Linked DNA regions of Caenorhabditis elegans. The protein of the gene in region 3 interacts with the protein of the main gene of each other region in a pairwise test. Each region holds a gene or a part of one and is shown on either strand. Other genes may lie near its edges.

Region 1 (7,838 bases), on a different chromosome or scaffold from region 3:
TGACTCACAAGTGGAAAGACAAAAACTGAAAACTACAGACATATTTAATCTAAAAAAAAGAGCAAATCGAAATATTTCTGACATTGTATTATAGTTGTTTTCAGAAAATGGTATTGATCATATCACATCATAGTCCAACTTAGTTCAGAACTTGGCAAAAGTTGGGCATAATTGTGTTAAGATCTAGTCCAATTTTGGCCTATGGTCAACTTTTGGCAATCTTTTACACAAGTTTAGTTGGACCAAACTTGGGCCAGACATTGGTTATTATTGGTATTCGTCGCATGTTAAATACTGCAGAAGAACCTGAAAATGGAACCTCGGAATTTTGCAGGATACAGTATTTTCCTATGCATAACTAGTAATTACTCTGAAAAATCTCGCTGTACAGGTGCAGTATTAGCCAAATTATGTTGTTTTTAAAATTCAATGCGGAATTTTTATAGAGATTCACTGTCCGACAATACATATCACAACTTATCATATCATATTTATCGCGAGTGAACACCTGAGATCCCAACTAGAACAATATTCGATGGCAGCTAGTCAGATAACAAGAATGATAAGATAAGAGGTTGAGAGTTGTGGTTTTTTTGATGAGACAGTGAATTTTTCAGGAATAAGAATACAGTCGTATAGGATGTTGGTTTCCTTAATGAAAAAATTAATTCAAATTAATTTTTTATGTATTTACGCTCTCCAGGAGAGACAAAAGGAGAAAAGAAGAGAAGAATTAACGCTTTTCAGTAGAAATTTAGCCTCTTTACACTTGTTTTAGATTTTTGAAAAAAAATTCAGTCAAAGTTTTGGTTAATCATTTTCCAAAAAACATTTTTGGCAGGCTGCCAGTGTATGATAGATAAAAATTAAGGCGATGTTCTTTACTGCTATACGTAGCAGTTGAAATATATAGTTAGCACCGATTGGGGGACAATGTGAATGACCTCTTAGAATTGTTCCCACTGCAATACGTTTTATTGACTCTGTCGATCGAGTAGTGGGCCTATTGGTTATCTAGGTGCTCTTAAAAAACACCTGCAACAATAGGCAGATCAAAGTCGTTAGATATCGAAATGCACATGACGTTCTGCTTGTTTCGACATTTTCAGATACACAATAAAATACGGTTTAATTCATTTATTTATCTGGAAAGGGATTTCTAGAAAATTGAATTATTACAATGATGAGATGACATGAATGATCGATGGAGTTACAGGGAGATGGAAGAACTAGAAAACTACAAAAGGAAGTTGGTCTGACAGTCGATGAAGGGCGATGAGCAAGCTGTTGTGAACGTTCTTCAGAAATCACTTTTTCAGAACACTAGTTTCCTCTTCCTGAACTTGTCGTTGATCTCGAGCCATGAATCTGCCGATCATTTCATTCAACAATGCATTCGTCTGAAAGTTGACTTAATATTGAAAATGACAAGATCGCAAGAACTAACCTTCAGAAGATTTTCATTGTTTCTTGACAATCTTTGATATCCTTCACTAGTTGCTGTCATATGATCCAAAAGCTTTTGATTTTTAGATTCCAATCGTTTCATCGCCTGCTTTTGCTGTACACACTCTGTCATCAAATAATCTTTTTGAGATTCCATTGCTTTCATTTCTCGTGCACTTCGTCTAAGATCCCTCTTGCGGTTTTTCAATTCATCTTCAAGTCTTTCAATTTCCGAATGACATGCTTTTGTCTCTTCATTGTAGTCCAATTTATCCGAAACACTGTCTTCGATGATTTCCTTGAGCTCATCAATTTCTCTGGTAAATTTCAAAACCATTTGCTCCTTCTCGCTGTCCTTTTCATCAAAAAAAGCCAAAATCATCTTCTTTTCCTTGAACGATTCCTCGACCTGATTCTTCAAAAGCATGATCTCCAAAGTCAAGTCAAACTTTTCTTTTCCGAGCATTGACTCGAAAATGTTTCGTTGCTCCACGAGCTCATGCTTCAGAAATTCGTTTTCTGCTTTTAGTTGGGTCAGCTCCAAAGTGTTGGAGGAATTTTCGTAGACAGAGATTTTGGGATTCATCTGGAAACGAAACTTAATTTTGAAAAAAAACTATGTACGGTGAAGGACGAAATTCAAACAAAACAGGAGCAATTATCTTGGAGAATCGGGCCTTAGGCCTACCTTGGAGAAAAAACAGCTGTCCTTCTCAGACAATAATAAATATCTATAATTCCAGCGGGTTTCTAGGCGTTTCAACATTGTCTTACCGTACTCCCCTTTCCCAAAAGTCAGCTTTCTTTTGGGAAGTATTATCTTCCATTGTCTGCCTCCAGGTGCTAATTGTACTGTGTTATTTGTCTGAAATCGATGAGCTGACCTTGTATTGAGGAGCCATTTGAGCCAATTGGGCAATAGAAGGGCAATAGAAGAACCAATATCTTGTAAAAAAAAAGAGTATTGAGTGATAGTAAATTACTGGGATTAATACAATTTATAAAATGGAAAAACATCTGAAGGGGGAGTATCTCGAGCAAAATAAAAATTTAACTAATCAAAGGCATAAGTTATGTATTGTTTGTCCATAAATGACAATCAGTGACTTTTTTGGGGCTTCATGAACTTTTATATTTTGCTGGAAAATAAAAATTGAATCAGTTTTCAGTACGACATGGAACATCATCTTGAAAGAGACCTGTTGTGAAACAACGGGTAAGACCAAGTAGGCATTTTCGACAGTATGGAAGTCATACGATATTGTCCACAATCGAATACAATTGAAATAGGTAGATGTATATACTTTTTGATTAACTATGTGGTATCAAATTCAAGAGTTAGGTGAATTACATATAATATAAATATGAATAAATTTAAATAGTTGAATTTAAGACATGTCATAATGATATTCTCCTCGTGCCATCAGTTCTTATTTTAAACTATCATAAATTCTTTAATTTATACAGCTTCTGATAACAATTGAATAAAAAAATTGAATTTAGCAATTCAAAACGAATAACTTTGAATTCCATGCTACTGGTCTATCTCGATATACTCGAAGGTTTCAAACAGTTCATCCTCATTCTTCTCCATTTCACATAATTCAATCTTCTGATTTTTTATAGTTACGGATGCATTCGTTGTGATCTGAAATGAAACAATTGAATAGAGGAATTTGAAAATAAAAAATTTGCAACGAAGATGGAAGACGCCGTTGCTTACGATATCTCTTCCGTTCGACAAATTTCCAAAATTAGGCACTATAAAAGTTTCATGGCAAACTCCAGAATATCTATCGATAGAATTTCTATTTACAACAAAAACCAACTTACACTGTCAACCTCTTTCAATTTGATTTTATTTTTGCAAATGTCTGTCTTAACTTCTTGTAATTTATCCAAATTTTTCCCGATCTTTGCGATATTTTCATTGTTATATGTATCTTTTAAATTATTGTTTTCTTTGCGTAGAGCTTCATTTTCTTCTATAACCTTCTTGATTTCATTTCGATAAAATCTTGAAACTTTCATTTTTTCTTCAATACATTCATCACGATCTTTATGGATTACATCAAGAAGTCGTTGACTTTCCTCAGCTTCCGTTTCTTTTTCTTCCAACTGTGTCTTCAAAATTTCATTTTCAGTTTGAATTTTCTCAAAGTTGATTTGAAGATTCCGAATATATTGTTCAAGTTGTTCAATTTCACTTCTTAGCTCCTCAATGTGAAACATCTCTTCCTTAATATGATCCACGAGATTTTCGCAAGATTTACACTCGGAAGCCATGTCTGAAAAATGTTAAAGATTCTGTGTTATGCAAATAATGGGTTAAAAAGTGAGAAGCCGGAAAATTGCTTTTGAAAAGTTAAAAGAAAGTTGTATTTAAACTTTTGAAATCAGAAGAAAAGAAGACAAAATTAATCTTTGTTCCTAACAGAGACCATTAATGAGAAGAAATGAGCTCTCGGTGCCAAAAGGATTAATATGAGCAGATGTCGGGAGAAAATCAATTTTCTTGGAGTAAACCAAAAACAGTAATTATACTATTAGGTTTAGGGTCCCAGGTGTTCGAAGCTTTGCAATTAATATGTGCAAGGTACGAAAACAAAATCCTAGAATTGCTTAATTTAATCTACCTTATTTTATATTCAAGAACGCCTTTCAATTACCCTGAAACTATATTTTGCGCTATCATTAATTTCACTCCCCAACGCAAACAAATAGGGCGTTGGTGGGCATACACGTAGGCCTGAAGGTATCTAACATGCCTCTAAACACCAAAAAATTAATACTCCACAATAAAGAATGTTTTTATCAAAAAGTGAACGTGAATTCCATTCTCCACGAACCTCTTTTTTTTATCGAAGAGTATTCTTGTTCAATGCATTTATTCCTATTTTTATAAAGTCGCTACAAAACGGACAAAACTTATTTACGCATTACATTGTTTTGAAGTGAGTTTCTTTCAGACATGATCATTGAAAAAAAGTATTTTCAGATTAAAAAATGGACAAACCAAAATCAAAGACAAAGCTTCCAAAATGGGTGAAATTCTTGACGTGAGTTCCCGCGCGAGTAGATCAGTCGATTTCAGCGTAAGGTGAGATGCATTAACTTGAGGCATTACATTTTACGCGAAAATGTCACGGTACTGTAATGATGGTTTCGCTCGATTTTATAATTGAAACTTTGCAGTGGTCGTACCAAATCACCAGATAGTCGAAAGGAACCAGAAACAGCAGAAACAGCAAAAACTCCATCCCCAAGTGCGGCTCCCGTGTCTCCAGTGCTCGAAAAGTCAAAGACGAAGACGGTAACGACAGAAGTATTTTAAAATAAGGCACGAGGCTAGCAGAGGTCACCTTAAGATGAGGCAGGCAGGCCTTTTGGTGCCTACACGGGAGCCTTTTTTCACGAAAAACTAAAAAATCAATAATTTTCTCATTTTTAAAAATTAATTCTAGAACCAGAAGAGCACAACTGAAATTGAGCAACAAAAAATCGTGAAACGACCTTCTGCAAATCGGAAAAATCAAGTTGAAACGAAACGAGAAGAGAAGAAATATGAAAAAGTGAAAAGTGATTTGGGAGTTCCGCAAGCTGATGTTCAGAAAAATGCACCACCATCTGTATTTGAAAAGAAGAAAGCATTAAAAGAAGAGTCAAAGAAAGAGGTGCTAGACGGTAGCGCCTTTGAGGTACTGAAAAATGGAGAGAATATTGTTATAGTTTTTTTTCAGGAAATAGAAGGTCCATCAGCCCCAGTACAAACTGGTTCAAAAGGAATAAAAAATAAAATGCGTTGGAAAATTGACGTGGAAGTGGTTGATGTCAAGGGAGATCAGAGGATGACAGAAATTATCGAGAAGGCCTCCATTTTACGAACGAGAATTAAAGCTCGGAAATGTAAATTTTCGAAAGAAAATGAGAAGGATACAAGTACGACTACAACCACCACCACTGACGACGAACCGGAGCCCGTTAGTTTTTTTTTTCAATCGTGGTTTTAATTTACTGTGAAGGTTCAATTAGGGATGACAAACCGTCTTTTTTCAGAATTTTTCAGAAGAAATGATCATAATGTGTGCTCGGGTTTTGGAAGTAGTCAAACTAGAATCGTTAATTTCAAAAGAAATTTCCAAACCCGATCAAATTAATCTTCGTGCATTCTGCCGTTGTGGCGATCATGAGGAAAATGCCGAGATTTGCATTGAAAAGATTGCATCCGCTGTTTTGAATACAGTCGTCCAGAAAAATGAATTTATTCGGCAAGTTATGATTCCAGGAGAGTTGAGGATGTTTGCAGTGGATGAAAAGAAGGCAAAAATTCCAATGATGGCGTTGATGATGGTTCGCAAAGATCTTACTTATTTCGCGTGGGAAAAACGTAACAAGGAAGTGGAGAACACTATTGTAAGTGCCAAAATTGGAAGTGGTTTGTCTATTAATATCATTTGATTTTTCAGGACGGAACTTGGTCTGGAATGTCAATCAAGAAAGGAACCGGGTCTCCATCGGTTTATAGCACTCAGCTTGGATGTTAGAATTCAATAAATTTTTTTTTTTTGAAAGCTTATTTGTTTGTTTTCTTTTCAACTCTAGAACTATCCTTGGCAAATGTTGTCCTTAACAAGGCTTCTGGTCTTACACCAAAAGGAAAAAAGTACAAATCAACAATATTCAGCACTCAGTGTTAGAAGTGAAACGACTGGTAAAGTGAAGAAGCTTCCGTCAAAGTAAATTCATGAAACACTTTTGAAACAAATCTGAAATTTTAAGGGTTAGTGAAAGACAGAAGCAAGAAAAGAAAGAAGTCCCGAAAGAAGTTCCGAAAGAAGTTCCGAAAGAAATGAGACAATCAATGATGGGAAGTGTATTCGAAGAAATTGAAGGTCCCGTATCTCCGGCGCCACTTGAGAAGGATGAAAATAAGATGATATGGAAAATTGACGTGGATCCTGTTGGTAAGTTTAGGCCCGCTACAAATCTTCGGTCGCTCATCTCGTCCGCTCCACAAATGCATTTTCAAATTTTGAAGAAAAGTATATTCACAATGGCACATTAACTTTACCTAACCAAATTTTTCAAACCTTCAACTATTCTGAAAATTTCAGTGCTTACCGGAGATCAACGGATGTTGGATGTTCTACAGGGTGGCCCATAATTATGGGCCACACTGTAGAAAAGATAAAAGATTTGAAAAAGAACTCTGGATGGAAGAAATGCAAGGTTCTGAAAGCAAACGAGAAAACTCTAGACAACGATGGTGAACCAATTGGAGAATCGATTTATTTTAGTGCAAGAGTCCTCCAGCTTGTCAAAATGGAACCATTGATCTCGAAAGAAGTATCAAAAGAAGATCAAGAGATTCTTCGAGGTTACTGTAGATCCAACGATCATAAGGACAAAGTGGAACCAATTTTCGAGGCTATTGCTGTGTCAATTCTTGAGAAGGTTACATCGAAAAATGAGTTTATTCGGAACGTTTCAATTCCTGGACAGTTGAGAATGTTTGCAGTTGACGAGAAAAAGGTAAGAAGATAATTTTAACGTTGATTTCTGAAAATATAAAGTTTCAGTCGAAGTTTTCGACAATGGCTCTTCTCATTGTTCGAAGCGACCTATTCTACTACGCTTGGAATAAACCTTCACTGGATGATGAAGATCAATTGGATCCGACTTGGGCAAATATGACATGTCGTGTACCTCCTCCAGATTCACAATGATCTAATTGAACTTTGATTTCAAAATTCTTATAAACTGTTTGAAAATTCTGGAAACCATTTACCTCATTTCCTCTATTAGTATTGCTCCATTACGAGCCAATCAAAAATCCGTCTTGCACCCAAAACAACAATTGGTGAGGGCCCTGTGTCGAGTGACATCGCATTTTTTGTAGTCTTATAGGAGCGTTACAGGAATGTTTCATTTGAATTGGAAGGAATGAAAGGTATTTTATATTCTACTGACAAGTGATCAGAAAAGAGCACTGCAGAAGGGGGCGTTGGGTTAGTGGCAGGATCTAGAACTGAAATGTTAATTGAGCAGGCAAGTAATTCAAGTGGGGCAGGGGTAGACTATTTTTTGTGCGAAATTAAGGACTAGCAGCGTTCGATGGTTAAGGTGTGCGCTTCAAACCCGCTCCAAAGCCGCTTCAAAACCGCTCCAGAACCGCTCCAAAATTGCTCTAAAACTGCTCCATAACTGCTGGTCTTAATTTCTTACAAATAAATTGGTCTACCCCCCGTACCGCTTCATTACTTTCTCTGCAAAATGAAGTTCACACTGTGCCACTTTAAATTCAAAAAATACCAATTTTGTACCCATAATTTCTCTGAGTTCTAAATAATTGTATCCGTATATTTTGTGTGAAAGAAACCCGTTCTCTTCCA
Region 2 (11,229 bases), on a different chromosome or scaffold from region 3:
GTAGACCGGAGCGAATTTGTCAGGGCACCGCGATAAAATCCATTGATACCATCTTTTCTGAAATTCAGAAAATAAAATTAAATCGGGAGTTTTTGAACAACGTACTTATAAAGCGTTTTCCAGCAGTCTTTTGTACTCGTATATTGTTTAATTTGTTTACCCGATTGCATCATCATACTGCGTCGTACTGTATCCAAAGGATAGCATACCATTCCGCTTGTTGTTATTGAGATTTGAGCAATAGCCCAGCATGCAGCGAAATTTAAGGATTTTGGATCTTCTACACTTGTTCTGATACTGTCGAAGATTCCAAAGAAAATTGCTCGAGAAGCTATCACAAACTGAAGAGCTGATGATAATCCTCTGAAATAAACCAAAATAATAATGTTTTAACTTTTTGAACACTCACTTATACCACGAGGCAACTCCTTCGCTGGCTTTAATTTTCTTAAGGCAGTCTACCATTCCTTTGTATTTTCTGGATCCATCTTTTTTGACGTCTAACGCCAGTCTGGTTCTTGCAAAGTCAAATGGATAAAGCATGAATAAAGTAGTTGCTCCACCAAGACCACCCGAAACAAATGTACCTAAAAATTTTCAAAATCAGTAAATTGATAGGACCCATGTTGACTCACCAGCCAAAAATTTTCCAAAACTTTCATTCCGATCAACATTTTTCAATAGTGTATTTCTGTAAATGTCACGGAAAGCAAAATTGAGAGTATGGTTTGGTAGACATCTAGCAACACCCGCTCCATTTCCTCTCCACAGTGCCATTGCACCCTGTAACTTAGAAATAATGATGGTTTGTTAGAGCTGAATTGACCATACCTGTTCCAGTCTGATTTTGGAAATACAATCCCGAATGCCATTGTACTCAGCCATGGCAAACTCGCTTTGTCTTTGAAGCTGAAAATTTGAAAAATGAATTTATTTTTTTTTGTATTTCAACAAGCCTCTCTATTGTAAATTCCATACCTGAAGAACGAGCTTGACACGATCAAATGGTGCTGTAGTAGTCTTGCTAATTGCAGCTGCGGCACTTCCAGCCAAACATTTTTTGCTTGTCTCCAGAACATCGAGTGTGGCAGACGTCGAAGCCATTCCGCTAGGCGGATGACGAGCGGTGAGCTGCAAAATGTTTGAGTGATATACATTCAAAAGCGTACCACTACTAAAAGTGGGAAACAATTGCGTCATAAATGACAAAAAAAGAAAAGTCAAGCCTGCGAATGAACTTGATTTAAAAATGCGGCAATGGTATGATAGGCAGTCAATGGTGAAAGACAAGAAAAATGGCGACGATTGATAACGTACTATCGAGGAAATGCGTTTTTGCGATGATCACCCCACCAGCTGTTGGGTAAAGTGTCTTCTCTTCCGATGATACAAATTTCCGCTTTAGTGTTCAGAGCGTCACGTGGTGAAACCTACATGAATTTAAGAAAAGAAATAGAATTCAAAAAACCGAACGCGTGTGAACTATAAATATTTTCAGTTTTTTAGCCGATCAAAACCTATCAAAACACACCACACACCATCAGGCATTGCTATTTCTTCTTTAATGTCAAACTATTATCAAGGATGATGAAATCTCAGTGATGACTAACAAAGACAACGAGGCGAAAAAGAACGGTTTTGCGCAGACACTTTGCAAGAAAGCATAGGAAAGAAAGAGGAGAGCGGTGCAGAATGGTGGGGTGAGGAGGTCGCTTTCGACGAGGAAACACCCCACGAACCGAGCACGTGAATGGCAGCTGAATTGGGACGGATTGCAAGAGAGAAGAAATTAGAGCGGATGCGGGGGTTGAGAAGTTCGTTGTAACAGAGCTTTATCTCAATTTTAATTATCTTCTTCTTAATGTTATTAAATTTTTGTGAACATGAAAGTTGGTAATTTTATTCTCCAAATCACACAAAAAAGTTGTTGAAAATTAGTGTAAAACCACATTTTCTGAAAATTTAAGTTGTGTTTGAAAAGTATGGTAGAAAAACCTAGAACATTAAAAACTGTTCTCAACTAACTAAAATGTTACCAATAATCTTATCGTACATTACGTCCACAAAAACATATAATGTTTCTACACAATAGTGAAGTTCATGGCTCATCACTTTGACCAAATAAGTTATCTAAATAACTACTCTCTAAAATTAATTAGGCTAAACTAGCAATGTTTGTGGGCTACCGAATTATTGCAACCTTAACACCAACCTCCACCAAAGCACGACAGATTTTCCTTTTGGATACCAGCTATTAATTGTTCAAATTATACCTAAATGTTAATAGAAACTTACTGTTTTTCTATCCATATCGATTGATTTAAGTTAAAAAATAAGACGATTTTTAAAAATATGATGAAAGAATTTAGGGGATTTGGCTTTTAGTGACGAGCTAACCCACTCAAACGTTTCTGATGTTGCTTACCCGGATACTGTACGTTTATATTCAAATTCATCACAATAGAATAACTTCCGTGTGAAACTGTGATCACAATGGCCTAATGGAATCACCATTTTGTCACGTTTCGGGAAATTCCGGAAGTAAACAGATTGACATATCCCAACAAGGATTGTCGATCTTTGAATAAGGAAATACCCTAGATTTTAATGACACCTTTTATACTAAACTGGCAATGGGGTGATTTTTAAAATAACATTTAGCCACTGTGTAGTGTAGTGTTAGCGATGTAGCCAGTTGTCTCCCATTTGCGAGGACATTTATTTTCGATCCTCGGAAACTATAGTGGCACCTATACGACCATGAAGTTTTCACGTGTTACTTCACGTGCACAAAATTGAAATTAATGGAGAAGAAAGAGCAGTGTTTCTTAGATTAGTCTACCAAAAACATATTCAGATAAGCTTATCAAATTTCAACGAAATTGTTAACGATCTGAACATTTTGAAGTCCGACATGCAGTGATAAAATCAAATAATCAAGCTTGATGACAACTCCATGACAAAATAAACATTATTTTGGAAACTGGTTTCAATTATTTGATTACTTCTGCGCACGTTTCAATGATATTTACCACGTTTTCAATGACATCTAAACTTGTATGAAAAGAAGAAGAAAAAAAAGAAAGGATAAAATAAACCAAAGATTTATCTAAAAATAATACAGTAAACGAAGCGAGTCTCAAAGACTCAAAGATGAGTCTCAAAGAAGTAGCATTGCACTTATATTAGAAGTTATTAAACGTAGAATAGTGTGAATAAATAAAATAAGTGATTATAACGGAAATTATAACATTGTTGACTTGGTCTTCTCAAGTTTTGGGGACGTTCGAAAACAGCACACATGCACGATAGAAACCAAGGAGATTATAAACAAGAACGCGTTGAGGAAAACGAGAAGTGTTGTCCCAATAGCTGTCATGCAAAGTTCGCTCTGAAAAATTTTAATTAGCTAAAAGGTAAATTGTTTTACTAAAACACGTGCTTCAACGGTGTCTCGCACTGCCGCAAGCATGTTGCCATTTAAATAATTATGTTCTCATTATGAAACTCGCTGTTTTTGTATCAATTATCAGTTTCTGTTGCCAAATCTGAGGGAAAAAACAATAAAATTTGATAACGACTCGGATATATTTTAGGTAACTCCCATAACACCTATAAGGCTATCCAAATTTTCCTAGTTGATAATGAAGTTTTTTTTTTAAATATTGTTCTGAATCAATCTTACAATTCTCATATCAAAATTCCTTTGCAACCAATTCAGCGAGATGATGTCATCGTTGGGGATGATGTAATCGCTTATTATCTCAGAGTCTGAAAATATTCTCATCTTAACTCTATTAAAACCATTTCTGAAGAACCTTCATATTCAATATGAGCAGCTATTGCAGTAATATTATCGTCGGGAGCTGGTAGTGTGTTGGATCTTCTTCTTCTCGGTGGATCTGGGCATGATGGCACCTGAACAGTTAACTTTTCACTTTAATCTTTCAAAAGTTATAGTTTGTATGCTGTTCTATGGTTTGGTTTCAGTGGTTTTCTTACTTCCTTGTACGTTTTTGGTTTCCCGTCTTTTCAAACTTACATCACAATAGTCAAGACCAGGCTCTTTGACTGTGATCGAAATTTGACAATCAAAATACATGTTATCTCTATCGGCATATTTGTATACGTGGGCTTCCCTTCCCGCCATCAGGTCTGTGGGATACTCAAGATTTGTGAGGAGGTATTTGTCGAGAGCGCATCTGAAATATAGAGATTGAGCTTATTGGACTCTATTCATTGATATCACACCCTTTGTCGTTTAAAAGCTGTACTCTTTGACCGTTTCCATCATCAACGAAACACGAGTGAACAAGCATACAGAACGTGTTTTCGTGCTCCGTGTCGCATGTCCATTTGTGATATACCTAAAAACCGGGTGATTGAAATTGGTTTCTTTTTGATCTATGATTGTTGTAGTGTGCTTTTGTTTGTATTTATCAGCATCTCTAGAACTGACCATCTGACCGACAGTTGCAAAATAAACAGGTGGGCCAGTTGGCGATCCATCCAACACCTCATATTTACAGACTGGCATGTTAAGCTGCTTTGAGTGCATTGTAGGTGGAGGCATACTAAACAAAATCAAATTATGCATTCATTAAAAAAAAATTTGAAAATGAAAGGAATATGTATCAATTACAAAAACATTAAACATTAACAACTCACGAAATCTGAATCACTTTTTGAATTCGACGCTCCATTTCCATGTAAAAACATTGCACCTTGAACACGCGATCGTTTTTTGTAAGGAATTCTGGATTGAAGGCCACGACTACATTTGTTGAGAGAAAGAGACCGCGAGGCGATGTCTGAAATGTTTTTATATTATTTTTGGTGCTTTTTTTTAATTTTTCAACGCCTATCACAACAAGAAGCAACGTAATGTACTTATTGTGTAATATTAGAAACTTGTGAATTATATCCCCGCCATTTTAAAAATTAAACGTGATACGCATTTTTTCTCGTTAAGCTTAGGAATTGTTAGCTTAGGAACAAAAGGAACAAAAGAATTGTTAGCTTAGGAACAAAAGCATTCCACACGTTTTTATTTCATAAGTTAAACAATTAATTTTTAAAATATATGTAATACACAAGTACCTAATATCATTATTATTGTGCATAGGAATACGCCATAGATTCAGTGATTGAAGATAAGATCCTAAGATCCTATGCAGTCTGTCTTTGATGAAAAAATTTGTTTAAGAAAGCTGAAGAATGTATTAAAACTACAAGACAAGTTTTCGGGAAACTAGAACACTCGCAAAAAATCTTTCAGCTAACACCTCCATAACCGGAGCTTAAATTCCGGTACTAACAGTTCGCCCGTCAAAAAGTTGTCCACATATCAGTTTTTCATCAGTTCCCTCCACATTTTCCCCGATTGCAATTGATATGTTGATAAATAACAGTGGAAGCCTACCTCTCACTCTCTCCCTCTATATTCTGCCGGATCGTTTGCTCAACAATGTCCGGTTCTTTATGATCGACCGCCCCGCTAAGACCGTTCGTGAGCCGGCTCTTCTCACCGATTATATAAGCCGAGCATTTGATAAGATGCCATCATCAATTCATCTCATTTTCCTATTTTCACAGTTTGACAATTATTATTTGTGGTTGTTGTTTAGTCTTGATGAACACTTCTAGGTATGAATGTATAGTTTAAAAATTTAGATGCGTCGTTCTGTTCTCATTCTCTCAACTTGCGCTCTCATTGCTCTCGGTCAAGACTGGGGAGGAGGTGGTGGATACGGTAAGCTTCAAACTGTGTTGTATTATATTTTCTCAAAATTCCAGGAGGCGGCGGTGACATGGGAGGATATGGTGGTGGAGGATACGGTGGAGGTGGTGATATGGGAGGAGGATATGGTGGCGGAGGTGACATGGGAGGAGGCGGCTATGGAGGTGGCGGAGACATGGGAGGAGGATACGGTAAGTAAACTTGCATATTTTGGTCTTGTTCTTTGCTTAAAATGTTTTATTACAGGAGGAGGTGGTGACGGCGGATATGGTGGCTACGGAGGTGGCGGATACGGAGGAGGTGGTGATATGGGAGGCGGCTACGGAATGGGAGGAGGAGGCGGTGGAGATGGTGGATACGGAGGTGGTGGCTATGGAGGCAACATGGGAGGAGGAAACATGGGAGGTGGTGGTGGATACGGATCCTACCAAGGAGGACCACAACAACCAATGGGAGGACAGCAAGGAGGTTATGGTGGACAACCTTACGGAGGTGGCGGACAAGGAGGATGGCCACCAATGCCAAACTAAACAATGTCGTCTACTTGATGATTTATCCTAATTATCTTATTTAACTTCCTAACTATTTCCACTATGTATTGTAAATTCCACGCTTTCATTTCATGTTTGTGAATTTTGTGAATAAACAGCTTTGTTATTTCTAAAATGTGAAAGCTCAATGAATAAAATTAAATTTGCATTATACTTTTAATGGATTCTCTTAAAATTCCTATGGGCACTTATGGGTAGGAGATATCCCCAAAATGTTTTTGCTCGATTTTCTCTGGATCTCCAATTTTTTTCCGAATTTTATTTTCATAACACATATTTTGTTTTTAAGTATATTGAAGATTTTTTTGTTTATTTATACATAGACAATATGGAGGACAAAAAATTTTCAATGCTTCTAGTCAACTTGATAAAACTTTACAGTGAAACAATCTTTTTAAACTTGAAAAATAGGAACAAATGTGTAAATTTTTAAAGTAAAATTTTTTAAAGTATCTGTATTTTTCCGATTCTCTAATAAATTTCTATTGGGATCGGACATCAAGATAACCCACTGTTCGAAACATGACCACCAGGAACCGGAAATCCACTCGAATTCACTTACCGAATGTCTTTTTTCAATTGCGCACTGATCGAATGTCAGCCGTAAGCTACTGTTTTTTGCAGAATCAGTTTTCGATGCAAAACTTCGACAATCAGGGTTATCCAAATGGTTTTGCACAAAAGCCAGCCCGTGGAAAGTTGTTCGAGTATCGAATTTTACCTTAATAATGAAGTTTCCAACACAAGAGCATGAATGATAAATGTTTACCTCAAAAAAATCATCTCCACATTCTACAGAGGGATCGCCAACAATTGCATTGTCTATTTCACCCCGGACGGCTTGCTGAAAAAATGTTTTGAATAAATGCTAAGAATTATATAATTATGTTTTTACAAAAAAAAAAGAAATTTTGAAATGCCAACCTTTTTCAATAAAAAATTCCCATTCAAGTCAAAGTTTAGAAATATGGTTGAATATTGAAAAAAAAACATGGGTTGTTACTTTAATATTACGAGGATATATTCCTTACAGGAGATTTAGAAACAAAAAAAAATAGTTTCATCTATCAAATTAGTTGATAAAACTCACCAAAAGAATTATTGCAAATACCGCAAGAATAAAATTCATGAACAAAATCTGGAAAAATACAAAATTAAAAAAAAGCATAGTTTAATCACATAATAATAAATCTAGTAAGAACACCATCACCAAAAAGAAAACAGAACAAATGATGAGAAAACACCTATAAATCTGATGAATTGGCTTCGGTTACGACTACTAGATGACTTCCTATAATGTCCATCATCTACTATCCTTTCTCAAAAGCGTTTGTGGTAGTGGCCTTTTGATGAGAAGAGAACATCAAGTTAGTCAACCAAGCTTTGTATGCTCTTGAAAAGGGAAACAAGGGAGAAAAGAACAACGGATGAAGTTGAGACAAGGAATCCAGTCGGTGAGTGAACAAGGCATATTATTCTCGAAATATGCATAGATATGCATCAAAACCATTCAATTCTATTTATTCCTTCCCCTTCCATTTACCAGGCGCTATCGCGTCAATCTCTGAGAAAGTGCCTCAACTGCCCCGATAGTCTTGACGAACGGAAATAGGAAACTGTTATGAAATTGATTGGATGAAATAATTTCTGCGTTTTTTAAAAGTAATCCATCGACATCGAGTACGTCGTATGTATATGTTTCACTAAATTTGAATGAAATGCCAAGGGTTATTTAGTATTCCAAATCTACAGAATCTGAAAGTTTGTGCGGATATTCCACAAACTCAATCATTGATAAAAAACAAAATTACTTGATAAAACACAAAATTACATCAGGGTTACAGAGAACATCAGTGAGATGTGGCGTGTAGGAACCGTCTGCATAACTAACCCATTAAGACTAAAGCAGTTGTCAATAAAGTACTATTAAAATTCTGGCTCCGATACATAGTCATTAATCCCTCGGCTATTTTAAAACTTATAGCACCACAGGTATCTAAGAACTAAAATTCGGTTGAATTCATAGCCAATACAATAATTCAGCTGAAACCCCAGTTGAGAGTCTAACATTGTATCGAGTTTGATGTGCCAAGTTTCGCATAATGGATGCGTTAGAGCATTTTTTTTTCTAGCACCTTTTTTCCAGTTACAGTAAATTGTAATATGGCAACTGAAGAAGATTCATCATAAGAGAAAAACGCAAGAAAAAAACGCGATCAGAGTAAAAGGGAATTTTGCGAGAAAACGAATTTTCAGATACAAACAACACTCAAAAACTAACAAGGGAAATGTTAAGAATTAAACCACAAATTAAGCAAGAATTCCAATTGGCTCGTCTTCAATTCCGCACGCATTGATACCACGTGCAAAGTAGATGTAACCATGTTCAACTCCCCAAGTGTTTCCCCAACTGTTCTTCACAATCCAGTATTTTTCACCAGTCTTGCTTGTTCCGTAACCAGTGATGAGAAGTGCATGCAGTCCGATTACCTATCAAGTTGCATACTGATTAGTAAATTCTATAGAATGAAAAATTGTATAATATTCTGATAAGAAAAAAGACAAAGAAAAAGTAGTATACCTCGTTCTTGCATGCATATTCGGATGGTGTGAAAACTCCTCCTTTGTATGCTCTCATAGGCTGAATAACCGCCATTCCTGGAATATTGTTTTTTTTTCAGATATTATTATGGACATCTACATTATGTGTGCAGAAAAAAAAATATTACAAGTCCTTTTTTTTTTTTAATTTTTGACTTACTTATTCTATCACAGACATAAAAAATACGAAAACACGCAATTATCTATCTTACCAATATTCACAGGCCCGAAATTCACTAGCCAGTTAATGATAGAATCCTCGTCATGATGAAGGAAGTAAGCTGCCTTAATTCTGGTTGTATTCCAGTGATCGTTGACTGCACAACCATTTTGGCGATGAGCTACATATGGAAGATCGACTGCATTTGCAAGTCCATTGCGATGAATGTATCTGAAAAATTGATTATTGGAACTCAAGAATTATCTCATAAATTTTGGCTCTCGTACTCTCTTAATTTTCAATACAAACCTGAATGCCTTGTCCTCGTCTCCTCCGTCGCATGCGTTATCAACCAAGTCGCAATCAAGAAGGGTCTGCTCCGACAAGTTTCTCTTCTCACCGTGTGCGATAGCCCATGCTGCCTCGACAGTGGCGGTAGAAGCGAAGGCCCAGCAACTTCCACACTGACCTTGTGCCTTGACAGGGGTGATAACATTTTTGTCTCTCCAGTCGAAAAAGTCTGGGAATGGGGAGCTGCTTTCTCCCTTCTTCGCTGTCAAGGATTCTGGAATTGGCTCGATGAATTCAGCCTCTTTGTGGAGTCTTTTGTAGAACGATTTTGGTAGAAGGGTCTTCTCGAATTCCTCATCTGTCCAGTCCGACATGTCGTTGTGACCATATTCAGCTGATCCATGTTCATTTTGGATGTTCCAATTGGCAATGTTTTCATCGGTGTTGTAATATGCATTTAATCGTTTCAATGACTCTTGACTGGTGGCATAGCTTTTGTCGAATCTGAAATGATACTAGTTTTAAATTAAAACTATTCAGGGTATTCTTACTTCTCGGTGTAAGCAATGTACTCTTTGGCAATATTTTGAATCCCTCTTTCGTTGGTATGTGCTCTACGACTCACTTTTTCCGCTTGAAGTTTTGTACTATAATCAATCCTAATTAATACGTTACAAACCTGTGAGGAACTTACAACAGAGGCACAACAAAAATAATAAACATTAGCCAAATGGTAAAAAGTACCAAGTGTCTTTTCTGTCTGTAACAAGAAAAATTATTGATTATAACATTTTTGAAAAAGCTTACAGATTGAATCGTTTTTGTTCTCTGCATGCATGTTCTGAGCAATGATTTCCTGCAAGAGGATGATGTTCTACATGGCTAATTGGAGCTTTTTCGTCTTCTGGCCTGCAATCAAACAATTTTATGAAATTGATATTTGAAAAAATCAAAAACTCACTTAAACAGAGAGATTGCAACCATTGTCAAGCGAGCGAGCAAGGAAAACTGGCAACTCAGTTATCAGTAATTTGTGTCTCTTCATTATCAATGAATCTAAAATGATTATATGGGTCATGAAGAGACGAAGCTCGGGCATAGAACAACTTGTGTTAGTTTTTTCTGGAACATTTTGTTTCTGTCATCTTATGATTGTTGTAAATATTGAACAAAAACATCAAAACTAGTGAGAAGAAATCATAATTGAAAAAAATACAATTATTTTTCACCTATAAAAATATTCGAATAGTTTTGTTGAGAATTGCTGAATATCATGATAAGTTTTATGGAAAATTGAGTAATTTTTTAAATTTCAAATCAAAGAGCGGGGACTTGCGCCCCATTTAGAGATATCCAGAGCACTGTCGCATATTCAGACTTTGAACCACTAAAATGTCGTAATATGACAATTTCGAACGTAATTAAAACATAAAACATTTTTTTGATTCAACACTTTCCGAAAGTAGGTCAAAATTGAGTTTATCCGCTTTTTTGGCTCGAAAATTTTTTATTGTGATATGTGGTCATTTCAGTATCATAGAATTGGTCTGTAACTAAAGTTTCATTCTTCAGAAAGGAATTGAATATGTAATTTCCAGAAAACCCTCCAGAGATAAAACAATATTGTATAAATCATTCATTTTTATTATGTTCAAATTTAAACTGAATATCCAAAATTAAAGAAATACACCAAAATAAATATGGGAGACAAAACATGAAACGGGTGAATAAACACGTAAGATTGGGTAGTGCACTTCGTGCGGAATTCGATTCAAATTAAAAGGTCATTGATACAGATAATTGATGCAATTGAAGTTGCATTTAAACAAAACGAAAGTTACAAAAATCTTGCAAATAGAACTTGCAAATGTTTGAATTTTGATGCT
Region 3 (11,550 bases):
CATCTGAAACATCCAAAAATTTATTTATTTTTTTCACATACTACACAACTCCTTTTTCGAACTTCAATGAATATATTAGATGAAAGACGCAGAGATAACTGAGAAATTAAAACAACACTGGACAGATGAGGTTGCTAGGAGAACAAAAGGGCGTGAGATAACTCACACACGAAACTGAAGTAGAAGGGCATAATTTTCAGTTTTTTGTCTGCGTGCTCAAATTTTTTTCAATTCATCCGTCTAAATAATAACGTCATGGAATCCTTCGAATACTGGCCAAGATTGCCTGAAGAACTCAAAAGAGAAGTTATAAAAAACATGGGATTTGCTGACAGGTATTTTTTATATGTTGAAATAGACTAAAACAGGTCCACAATCACAAAAGTTCATAGTGAGACTTCACAAAAAATGCCTAAAATGTTTTCAAAACTCCATTGGCTGCGACAAAGAAAAATGGGCATAATTTCAGATTTTAGCAAAGTTTGGCTCTTTCGCAATTTCGACCCACCATAAAAAATATTTGGAAATTTTTTGTGCAGTATCATTTTGAAATTCGATGCCTACCTAGCCTACCTTCATGCCTAATTCTTTGATAACTAGTTGTTTCATCTTGCCCGCAAATTTTTTATTTTCCAGATATAACACTCGTCTGTGTGCATCTCAAGAAATGAGGCTCGTCGATAAACTGCCAACTCACCTCGATAACCTGGAATTTGTTGTAAGTAGGCTTTGAACGCTGTACATTATTTTTTAAAAAGTGTTTTCAGAATCTGATGAAGCATTCAGACAACACTACATCAGCTTGGCGGTGGATAAAATTCCATTCAAAAACATTGTCGACCTAAGAACTAACAGTAGATTTGGATTCGAGAAGTTTTCAATTCAAAATTTCTGCCGAGTTTTTGAAAACAAAAACTCCACCGTTCAACGACTGGATCTTCAGCTTTTCTATCAATCCACAAATCGATCAATTTTTGATCTTCTGGTTGCTGAAATTCAGAAACGAGAAATCAAGATCTGGGTGAAGGAAGTTCACCTGGATTGCAGTGAAGAGCGGAAGTTCTCATGGCGGAGAGTTGCAAAGCTTATGACTATTTTTAGAAATAACCACCCAAGCCAGCTATTTCTAAGAAATCTTCGAGAGGAAGACTACATCAAAATTTATAAATTGGCGTTCCAAGGTGTGCCGGACCAAACGATTATATCGACTGTGCCAAAGTTGTATGAACTCCACCTAAAATGGACGACACCGTTTATATCAGATCAATATTTGTTTCGCGGTTGTTCACCAGGTTTTGCTTGGTCACAGCTCAAGGTAAGAAAGTTTATTGTATTCCAAGGAAAGTATCTCAGCTCACGAGTTTGGCTCGTCAGAGACTTTGCAAAAAAATGACTAAAACTTATTTGCTTTACCACATATTTTGGAAAGAAATGGACTGAAAAACTTTCAGATCGACCTGTGAGAAAGCATTATTTATTGTTTTACAGCATTATAAAGCTCATGGTTGGAAGCCAGTTGGAAGCGTCTTTAAATTTAGAACAATTGTGGAAATGGACATCGATGGAATTATGCAGCTATATGATGTGCAGCCGCAATTCAGGAAGTTCCAGCATGTTCCCGACTGGGAATACGACATTTCGTTAGTGAATCTTTTTGGCTTTAAAATAAAATCATTGATATCAAATTTTCAGTGAGTTCCCAGACAAGGAATTACAAATGTTCGACACTGACATTCCGGAAAAAGTGTTCATCTGCGAACTTTTGCCAACCTACATTGCCGGCGTGATTTGCCAGAGGGATCAACTTATTTTCCAGTCATGATTTTTCCAATTAATTTTTGTCAATCTTTCATTTAAAACGTTTAAAAATAAGAATTTAATATTAATTTCATATATATAATTTGATACATAGTTTCTTTATAGTTTCCACTTCACATAATGTTTGAATCAAATTAATCGTAACTTCTATAAAAGTTTAATATCATTAATTCTTCGAGATCTGGCGTGAAATTCAACATTTTTTAAAATTATGAATTAAAAAATTGTAAACAATTTTGGTGGACTTCAAAAATGAACTTTAATTTTATGGAGAATTTATTAAAAAATAAAACTGAATAAAAATCACCAATTTGTTCATAAATCGCAAAGAAATCACATCTTAAAATTACTCAAGAAAAACTGAAACTCCAGCATTTTACAATAAATCATTTTATATTAAAAAACAAATTTCGAAAATTTTACCCAAGAAATTAAAAAAAAGCACCTAATTTGAGTTAAGAACCAAAAAAGGAGCGGTCAAACGGAAAAAAAGTCTTACAAAATTTCGATTTTTTGGAAAATGCTGAAACTCTTTGAAATAAAAACTGCTAAAAGCCTAGTCAATTGAAAGAAAATAACAAGCATTTAAGCTTCCGAGGAAGATGAAGTGGATCGTGAGCTTGAAGATTTTGAAGACGTTGATTTTGAACTTTTTGGCTTTGAGCTTCTTGATGACCTGGATTCATTCTCGGATTCAGAACCACTTCCAGACTCAGATGGCGTGGAACTTCCAGACTTTTCAGACTTGTCTTCCGACTCAAAACTCTCTTCATAACCCTTGTCAACCACAAAAGTTCCACTTCCACTAACTTCTGAGCTTCTTCTCCCGATTGATTGCTGCTTTTCCTGGCTTTGGACCCTTTCTATACCTCGCCCCTTGGCGCTTTTCATGCGTTCCTCAAATTTTCGTTTTAGACGGTGCTCCTGCGCCAGGGCCGTCTGTTTTTCCATGATTAGCGGGCCGTTGAGCACTCTGAAATTTTTGGAAGGTTTTCAAAACTTCCGAAAATTATCAAACTAACCTCTGCTTCATCTCGGCCAGCTGCCTCATGTATTCTTGAGTTGTTTCCTGCTGTTGTTGCCTGAAAATCAGGAAACTGTTTTAACATTAAAAAAAAAGAACATGAGAAAAAGAGACGCAGACAGGCAGAGCGACACGCTGTCTGTGTCTCTCTCTTTTTTTTTTGAAATTCAAACCATTTTGAGGGAGTGACCGGTTATGCGTCTGCCCGTTTTCTGGAAAAATGTTTTTTTTGCTGAATTTGACAAACCTCAACGATTTTCAAATTTTGATAATATTTTTTAAAAATAACAAGTCTTACAGTTTCTGCTTTGTCCTCATCGCAATATCCTCCTCAGTTTTGCTCCGTGCTCCCAAAAACGAGGAAATCCTCTGCTTATTATCTTCAGCCCAGAAATTCCCGTTTTTTCCCGATTTTTCAGACTTTTTCAGCTCAATTTTTGCTCGGTTGAGCTCCTCGCGAAGTTGTGTTGCGTGAGTGCTGGGCACTCGATTTTTCGAGGTTTTCGGCAAGTTTTCAGTCGATTTTTTGAATGGTTTTGGAGCCTGTTCTTGACAATTTCCGTGTCTCGAAGTTGCTGATTTACTTCTGGATGCGAATTTGAAAGGTATCGGCACAGTGGAGGGTTTTGAATTTGTGTTACGAAAGTTATCGGTGATCTGGAAAAAAAATTATATAATCACCTATTTGTCTTCAAGGCGGCCTACGCCTACTCTGAGCCCCAATACGTGCCTACCAGGCAATATCGTGCCACGTAGAAAATTAGCATGCATCCATAGAATTTGCAAAATACATAGTTTTTATGCTCCAAAAAAAACGAAATAACAAAAAAGAACTACTTATTTGGGTTTTCTGAAACTTTACCAAAATTTAAAATTTCACTCAACTTTTTTTTAAATAACTAATTTTTAGACTCACTTTTGCATGGATTTTCTCAAAATCCGGTGGCGAAGTCCGCCGGTGTAGTGAGACGGCGGAGGCGTCCATAGTGCACCGCCCGTGACGTAGGTGATGGGTTAGGTTTGACTGGGCTCGGTGGCTCTGGAATGTTGAATATTCTGACAACGAATTTGTAGATGAATATAGATGAAACAAAACTAAATTTCTAAACCAAAACATTAAATTTTTTTAATTTTTGTTTCTAAATAAAATTATTAATTGTTCAAAATTTCTAATTTTGTTTACCTTAATTCCCTTTGGAGTAGTAGCTTCTTGAATAAGAATAGTCGCTCTCATAGTTGCACTGCGGCTTCTGGCATTTGGTTTCACTGGAATTGGTGAGATATATGTTGATGGAGGTACGTACCCGAGAGGTTTTATTGAAGCTGTAAAAAAATTTGGAATGGTATTTTTTTTTGAATTTGAATTCAACATTTAATTTGCGGTAGGCAATAATCAATTTCATAATGTTCCTTTAAAATTTAAATAGCTGACTATGAGAAAAGCTAGTAATTTTTCCGGTTTATTCCAACAAAAAAAACAGTTTTCCTAAAACTTTGCAAGAAATCCTAGTTTCAATGTAAAAACCATACCCAAATTTCCTTCACTCTTCGATCGGACCATTTCATTCTGAACTTCAAACTTCCTCCGAGCCTTCGCCGCCACCTTTTTCCTCATGGCTTCTACGTATTTTTGCTCCGTCGCAAATGTATTTGTAGGCTGATATGTTGATTTGGGGACAGGTTTTGCCCGAAATTTTGTGTTTTCCAATGCTTTCTTGGCGTCCTCCTCAAGTTTTTGCTTTTCCGTAATTAGGCCGCTCATGAACTTTTTTGCGTAAGTATTTCCAGTGGATTTTCTGAAAAAAAATTATAGTTTAGGTTACATCCAGAAGTCCGCAACTAAGTTGAAATACTTCCCTTGTAAGCTACTTACCTCAAGCTCAACTGAAACGGCTTCGGTACGGTAACCTGTGGTGTATACTTTGATAGCTGATGCATAGACTTGGATCGATTCTTAGAAAGCTTTAAGTCGCCCGCTACAACTTCATCCCGAATTGTTGGAACTTCCCGTGTCGTTGACATTCCGTCCTCTAAAAAACTCTCCTCAACAACGTGTGATGACGTGGCAAATTGTGGATTTTCTGACTTAGAAGATGCCACGTGTTTCGTATTACTAGAAGATAACAGTAACCCTGATGGCATGGCGACGGAAGTGGCGATGTGTGGTGCGGAGCTGAGGTGCCGGGTCGATGCGTTTGCCAAAATTTGCCGGACTGTTGCTGACGTGGCATTTCTTGTCGAATGATGACGTGACGCGCTGGATGTTCGATGACGTGGATTTTGGAGAGTTGATGATGTAGCACTCGGAACCTGTTGACGTGAATTTTGGTGGGTTCTAGAGCTTTGATGACGTGGAATTTGATGGGATGGCGTAGCATGAACCTGCTGACGAGGATTTTGGCCAGATAAAGCCGCTACACTTTGGACTGATGACGTAACAGAGACCTGTGATGGTGCTGTAGATTCGATATTGTGGTGCCGAGAGCTTTGATGACGTGGATTCTGATGGGATGATGTAGCATGAACCTGATGACGTGGATCCTCATAAAGTGCCTCGTGGCTTTGATTGTGAGCCAACGTGGCATACTCAGTTTGACTCCAAGACTGCTCCCTCGGAGGCTCCGGTGCGGCCCGAACAGGGACTCTCACTTCTGAAGATCTCGGTTTCAGATCTAGATGACGTGGCATTTGATAGTCAGAAGGAGAAGCTTCATCTTGAAAATGACAACTCGAAGATTTTGTCACCTTATAGCTCGACCTATGCTGTGTAATTTCTGATGACGTCATCATAGTTGGCAACGGTGGGGCGCCGAGCTTCTTGGCAAGGAAGTTGGTGGTCTCCTCGTGTTTTTGACGCAAAATTGAGAGACGCTTGATGAACTCCTCATCGTTGAGTAATGATGGGTCCTGGAACGAATTTTTTGAGGTACTGTAAGAGAAGCTGAACTTACATTTTGAAGAGCGTCTAGCAAGTCCGCTGTGGCTTGTAGATTCCTCAGCACTGGTGGATCTTTCGGTGGAGCCATTTTGTGGAATATTAGGAAGGAAATGCTAGGAAATATACGAAAGTTGTGGATTTTCCATGGGGAAATCTGGAACCATTTTTTTAATGAGTTTGTTTTATTTCAAATTGTGGTAGTTTCAACAAAGATTCAAAATTTGGTGAAATTTGTTCTACGTTGTTTTTTTTTATTTTTCAATAATTTCCTCTGGTGAAAAACCTAAGCCTAATCCTAATTGTAAGCCTATAATACTAATAAATTTTGGCGCAAAAGTCAAATAATTTCCAAAAAATGTATGAAGGAAATTAAAATGGAAAATTTTAAATTTTTTTGAAAAAATTTGCATTTTAACAACTTTTAACGTCACTACGGAACACAAATTTGCTGAAATTTTTCCAAAGAGAAATTTGAATTCAAATTTTTCAATACAAAACATATATCTTGAAGATAAATTTTTAATTTTTGACAAAAAAGATTTTGCAGGAAATTTACATGCGTATTTTTAAAATAAATACGTTTGAAAACAAAAATTGTTTGAAACCAGCAACAAAAAAAAACATACAAATTCAAAAACTTACAGGAAATATACGACTACTACTACTGCCGTCAAAAACTTCTAGAGCATGTCTTCAGAAATATTATTTTCCGAAATAAATGTGTTCTCAAAATTGAGTAGAACACAAAAAGCGGGAGAGAGAGAGCAATCCGAGAAAAAGAGTTTGACAGGAGTGAGGCCCAGGTTGTTATGGAAACGTACGGCAGGTGGTAGTAGTTGTTGGTGAAGATGGGTGGCTCGGAGGGAGAGATTACGAAATAAAAGGGTAGGGTGTGGTGCATAATTAACGCGAGACAGCTTGAGATGGAATTCAGGAAATCGTTAATCTCATCTTCTACCTCCCCTTTTATTAGTACTACTAGTGGGAACTTTGTAGGTATCCAGACCTATGTAGGTCGACAACAGGGGCGAGCGGCAATTTTTTCGTCGACAAATTCGGCAAATCGGCAAATTGCCGGTTTGCCGATTTGCCGGAAATGTTCAATTTTGGCAATTAGCCGGTTTGTTTAATTGCCGAAAATTTTCAATTCCGGCAATTTTCCGGTTTGCCGATTTTTCGGTTTGCCAATGAAACTGGAATTTACAAAAAAAAGTGCAAAACAACAATTTTCCGAAAATTTTCGGCAATTGCCGTTATTCCAGCAAATTCCGGCAATTTCGAGATTTGCCAATTTGCCGGAAAATAGAAAAAAGTTGAAAACCAATAAAATGTCGAGGAGAACATTTTTCGTCAAAGAAATTTTATTTTTAATATCAAAAATCATTTATTCCACATACTAGTCTACTTCTTTTTATCAGTCTTATCCTTCTTGAAAGTCTTTTTCTCCGTCTTCTTATCGCCATCCTCTTCAAGTGTGGGGTACTCGTCCGTTTCAGGTGTGACAATAGGATCTGTGACAACCGCGTTCTGAAAATTCAACGCTAAGTTATGAAGGTTTAAGATGTTTAATTTGACCGGAAAACTATGCTCAGGCAAGCCCTCATTTACTAGTGTTTTCATTTACTTGAACGCTGGTTGATTGCCATCTAGCAGGTGAGCCTGTGGAGATACGCAGACCGCGGTATTGTCTCCCTGATTTTTTTAGGAGTCGGCGTCGCTTTGTGGACATCTCTCTTTTGTCCAATTTGTTTTGTGCAAGCCAGATAACAGATAACATCTCCTTACTAACAGAGAAATGGATGTAAGTAACATTAACGATGTACCAAGTATGCTGATATATCAGCATAGTTGGTATGTTTACAATTTTACCATCCAACCTTTATGACGTTTTGTGGCGAAAACATTAGTAAATGAGCGTCAAAGGGATTGAGCCATTGTTAGGGATTTCAAGTAAATGAGCACGCTAGTAAATGAAACGAGTCGTTTGGTGTGTACTCAATGTAGTGAGAAAAGATTGTTATTTGAAAAAAAGCGGTAGCCACATTCCCAGTTCCGCGCCGCACTATACATACGGATACATGCGGCATGAGTGAGTCCGGCGCCGGCGTCGTTGCGGCGACCTCATATAAGCCCAATTTTCCAAAAATTCTCAGCTTACCTTGTCGCCCTCGCGAAGCTTCGATTGAACTGGAACAGTCTTCTCCTTCGCTTTTTCCTTTTCCTTCGGCTTCTCCTCTTCGGTCAATTTTTCCGGTTTTTCAGGCTTATCCTCACTCGATACTGTCGTCTTTTTCTTGGTTTTGTCCGATTTTTTCGAAAGCTTTTCCGCTGACTTTTTGGACTCTGGTTTCTGAAAATTCAGACTTTGATTTGTTTTAATTTTCTTGTTGGGCAATTGGTAACCTTGTCTTCCTTGTTTGGCGGCATATTCGGGTCCTGAGTGTCCTTGCCGACTGATCTAAGCCCCGGTGGTGGAACTGGGCAGTCTGGAGCAGCATTGGCACCATTTTTGACAGAACTTGAAGCCGAGGTTGATTCAACCACAGGCTTTGTTGACTTTTGCTTCTTTTTGCCGGCACAAATCTGGAAAAGTCAATTTCAGGCAGAGTCCGGCTTAGCAGGCTTAGGTTTAGGCTTAGGTTTTGGCTTAGTGTTAGGGTTAGGCTTAGGCCCAGACCCAGAACCAGACCCAAGCTCAGGCTTAGGCTTTACCTGAGCTTTGATTTAGACCAAAGTTTAAGCACATTTTGACTCGAATAACTCACCATAATAAGAAATCCAATTGAAAAAGTGATCGAGATGAACATCAATTGAATATAATCCATTTTCGAAAATCTTCGCAAAACAACCCAACAATTGCTGCTTGTTTCTTGTTGGAATTCGGCTACAGGAAATCGAAGTAATAATCGATTTTTTGTTGGCAACTCTTTTTTTTTTGAAGAAAAATATATGAAGCAGTGGGTCACGTTTTTGAATTGCTAACTTCTTTAGCAAATTCAAAGTTTTGAAATTAAATTATTAAATTTTTCAAAAAAGGATATCACGTTTAATAAATAACTTTTTTTGGAACCTTCAAAAAAAAAACGTTCAAAAAAAGGCAATAAATTATTATGGCGAGGAGAGTGTAGATAATCCGGGCGGCTTCTCGTAATTGTTGTTTTCTCTGAAAAATTAAAAAAAAGTTTTAAATTCAAAATTGACTGAATAGGTTCTTCCATGAAATAGGAATGGTTTTTTAATTGTTAGAATTTCAATTGTATTCAGAATTTCAAAGGTTTTCAAATGCTTTTTATAATTTTCGGAATTGCGAAAATTTATCAGATTATTCAGATTTTCTAAAACTTGAAGAATTAAAAAAAAACATTTGGTAGGAGATTATTTGGCAAAAAGACTACAAACTACATTTTATGATTCATTTCAAAAAACTCACTGCTCTTGATACTCGACGGGCAACGCGAGTTTATTCCACAGTGAGCACATTGCCAAAAATGGCATGACAACCCAAACGCCGTTTGGAATCCAGAAAATCAGTGTAATACCCAAATATCCGTAGTTATCAGTGAAGAATGATGGGGTTCCTGGTGGTGGGTTTATGTACATTACAAGGTACCAGAATGTCTTCCAGAATACGAATGCACTTGTTGTGAAAGCCAGGAGCAAGGCGTGACGGGAACGTTTCAGAGCCTGAAGTTTGAGGGAAATTTTAAAAAATGGCCTGGACCCCTTTTAAATATTGTAAAAATATGAGTTGTTCATTTTTTTTTCAGAATTTCAAAAGTTTTAGAAGTATAGTAATTTTTAGAGTTTCATAAATTTCCAGATGATCAAAGTTTTAGAATTTAAAAAAAATTAAATTTTAGAAATACTTCCAACATTATTGAAAATTTCAGAATTTCATAAACGTTTCAAAATTTTCCTAACAAGGCTTGAGAATAACAATTTTCAGAATTAAAAAAAATTTCAAAACTCGAGTATGTTAGAGTTTCTTTAAAATTGTTTTCAGATTTTTTTCAATTTTTTAAAAATTTGTATTGTTAATTTTTAATTATTTTTCTAAAAAAAACATTACCAAATATACAGCTAAAAAGTTCAGAGTAATTTCAATGAGCATAACTCTTCCCGTGGAGCAAGTGACCACATCCTTGGTATCAGCATATCGAATATCCACAGATGAGTAGAGCTTCCCTGAAGTTTTTTTAAATAAAATATTGAGCTGTAAATTAGAATTTGAGTGTGAAACTAACACTCCTGTTTTTCAAAAATTTAAAAATAGGAAAAGTTGGAATTTTAGGTAATATATTAGAAAAAATTTCAAAAAAAATCACAATGGAAATAGGCACTTCGGTAGGCACCTAGGCAGGCGTCATTCATAATTTTAACTTAAACAACTTACATCCATAGAACAAGGTATTTGACACAAAACCATCCGGAGCATTTGTGTACGGGCGGAACATTGTGTAGATGACGTCAACTAGGCAGATGACTCCGGATACCAATAGCCACGTGGCAACCCATGGCGGCAAAACTGGTGGTCGGGGCTAAAAATAAGAATGTTTAGTTAATTTTTAAAAAAATCAGATTTGTAAATTGTTATATTTGTAAAAATAAACACTTCCTAAAAATTCTCTGAATTTCTCAGAATTGAAAAAAAAAGATTTCTAACAAAAAAATCAAAACTTTTTTAAACTCACCATACTGCTTGCCAATTTGATTATGGTAAGAAATAGGAAAATTCCAAAAAATAGTATTTTCCACCCTGAAAATAATTTCTTTTATTACACACAAATAGCAAAAAATCAAGGATTATTTGCACAATTAGTCAGTTTTTCAAAAGAGCACAAATCACGATGAGATCACAAGTTGATAGGAAAAGGTCAAAAAGTGATTGGAATTGGGAGATAAAAAGTAAAAAAAAACAGCTTTAACCATAATTTTAGAATATTGATAAAACAGTTAAATTCTGACTTTACTACCTAATTTCCAAAATTTTTTTATTTCTAGAATTTCCAAAATTTTCAAAATTTTTTGGAAAACTTTTAGAGTTGTTGGATAATAAAGGAGGTGCAGTCGCATTTTTTTAATTGCTTTGTAAGACTCAAAATTGTCTGAAACCACCGAATTTCATAATGAAAGTTCGTGAAAACTTCTCAAAAAAACGTTACAGCGGCTCAAAAAATGATTTAAAATTAGTTTAAATTCGAAATTTAACCGACTTGTCAATATCGCAACGGCTGGAAACTAATTGTTTAGTATATTCAAAATTAAGCGGTAATTTCAAAAAAAAAATTTCCAGCCGCTGCGGCATTGACAAATAGGGTCAAATTTCGAATTTTAACTAATTTTAGGTCATTTTTTGAGCCGCCATAAATTTTTTTGAGAACTTTTCTAGAAGTTTTATTGTGAAATTCGGTGTTTTCAATCAAATTTAAGCAATAAAAAATTTGGCTCCACCACCTTTAAATTCTTTGGAAAATCCTAAACTTCCAAAAAAGTTCCGAATTTTCCAAAAAAATTACAGACCTTCGAAAAATTTTTGAAATTCGATAATATTTAGAATTTATTTTTTATAAATTATTTGAAAAAACTAATAAAACTTAGAAAAAAAATGTTGGCCAAAAAACGCAATAAAATTCAAATTTCTTCTATTACGTATCCATGTTCGAGTGAGAAAAATCGCCATATCTTACGCGCAAAAAGCACCTGCGTCTCTTTTTCTCGCACGCTATCTAACGCCTATGCAAAACGCCTATGGCGAGAGAGCGTGTGGAAA

What was found.
Region 1: the proteins of famh-161 (region 3) and C17E4.2 interact in a two-hybrid assay, tested with the Caenorhabditis elegans proteins (one large-scale study listed by BioGRID).
Region 2: the proteins of famh-161 (region 3) and cut-5 interact in a two-hybrid assay, tested with the Caenorhabditis elegans proteins (one large-scale study listed by BioGRID).

Annotation. Positions count from the first base shown.
Region 1 is NC_003279.8:9,406,508-9,414,345, reverse strand, and holds C17E4.2 (Cilia- and flagella-associated protein 157), read right to left. Parts: upstream 2,041-7,838; 5' UTR 2,033-2,040; coding exon 1,448-2,032; intron 1,401-1,447; coding exon 1,308-1,400; 3' UTR 1,124-1,307; downstream 1-1,123. Other genes in the region: C17E4.19 (uncharacterized protein), read right to left, coding at 2,981-3,094, 3,280-3,732; C17E4.1 (DUF7774 domain-containing protein), read left to right, coding at 4,252-4,400, 4,445-4,546, 4,642-4,759, 4,911-5,144, 5,187-5,426, 5,503-5,859, 5,913-5,990.
Region 2 is NC_003284.9:10,330,770-10,341,998, forward strand, and holds cut-5 (Cuticlin-5), read right to left. Parts: upstream 7,421-11,229; coding exon 7,382-7,420; intron 7,136-7,381; coding exon 6,854-7,135; intron 6,400-6,853; exon of another isoform or gene 6,271-6,399; coding exon of another isoform or gene 5,987-6,270; intron 5,932-5,986; coding exon of another isoform or gene 5,797-5,931; intron 5,753-5,796; coding exon of another isoform or gene 5,674-5,752; exon of another isoform or gene 5,669-5,673; intron 4,812-5,668; coding exon 4,669-4,811; exon of another isoform or gene 4,575-4,668; coding exon 4,460-4,574; intron 4,368-4,459; coding exon 4,252-4,367; intron 4,203-4,251; coding exon 4,043-4,202; intron 3,919-4,042; coding exon 3,819-3,918; intron 3,772-3,818; coding exon 3,686-3,771; intron 3,392-3,685; coding exon 3,245-3,391; 3' UTR 3,089-3,244; downstream 1-3,088. Other genes in the region: R07E3.4 (ADP/ATP translocase), read right to left, coding at 1-57, 106-363, 410-587, 636-783, 832-909, 979-1,104; idpa-3 (Glycine Rich Secreted Protein), read left to right, coding at 5,674-5,752, 5,797-5,931, 5,987-6,270; R07E3.1 (Pept_C1 domain-containing protein), read right to left, coding at 8,602-8,781, 8,873-8,949, 9,105-9,283, 9,362-9,847, 9,895-9,990, 10,038-10,103, 10,151-10,252, 10,305-10,327. UniProt on the Caenorhabditis elegans protein: Plays a role in alae formation in L1 and dauer stage larvae.
Region 3 is NC_003283.11:20,527,620-20,539,169, forward strand, and holds famh-161 (Protein fam-161), read right to left. Parts: upstream 6,554-11,550; 5' UTR 6,423-6,553; intron 5,935-6,422; 5' UTR 5,869-5,934; coding exon 5,794-5,868; intron 5,750-5,793; coding exon 4,716-5,749; intron 4,639-4,715; coding exon 4,373-4,638; intron 4,166-4,372; coding exon 4,026-4,165; intron 3,882-4,025; coding exon 3,759-3,881; intron 3,500-3,758; coding exon 3,141-3,499; intron 2,901-3,140; coding exon 2,841-2,900; intron 2,792-2,840; coding exon 2,404-2,791; 3' UTR 2,077-2,403; downstream 1-2,076. Other genes in the region: Y38H6C.13 (F-box domain-containing protein), read left to right, coding at 256-335, 637-718, 768-845; Y38H6C.15 (uncharacterized protein), read right to left, coding at 7,182-7,307, 7,939-8,130, 8,184-8,363, 8,546-8,605; Y38H6C.16 (EXPERA domain-containing protein), read right to left, coding at 8,889-8,943, 9,211-9,464, 9,850-9,965, 10,174-10,318, 10,472-10,474.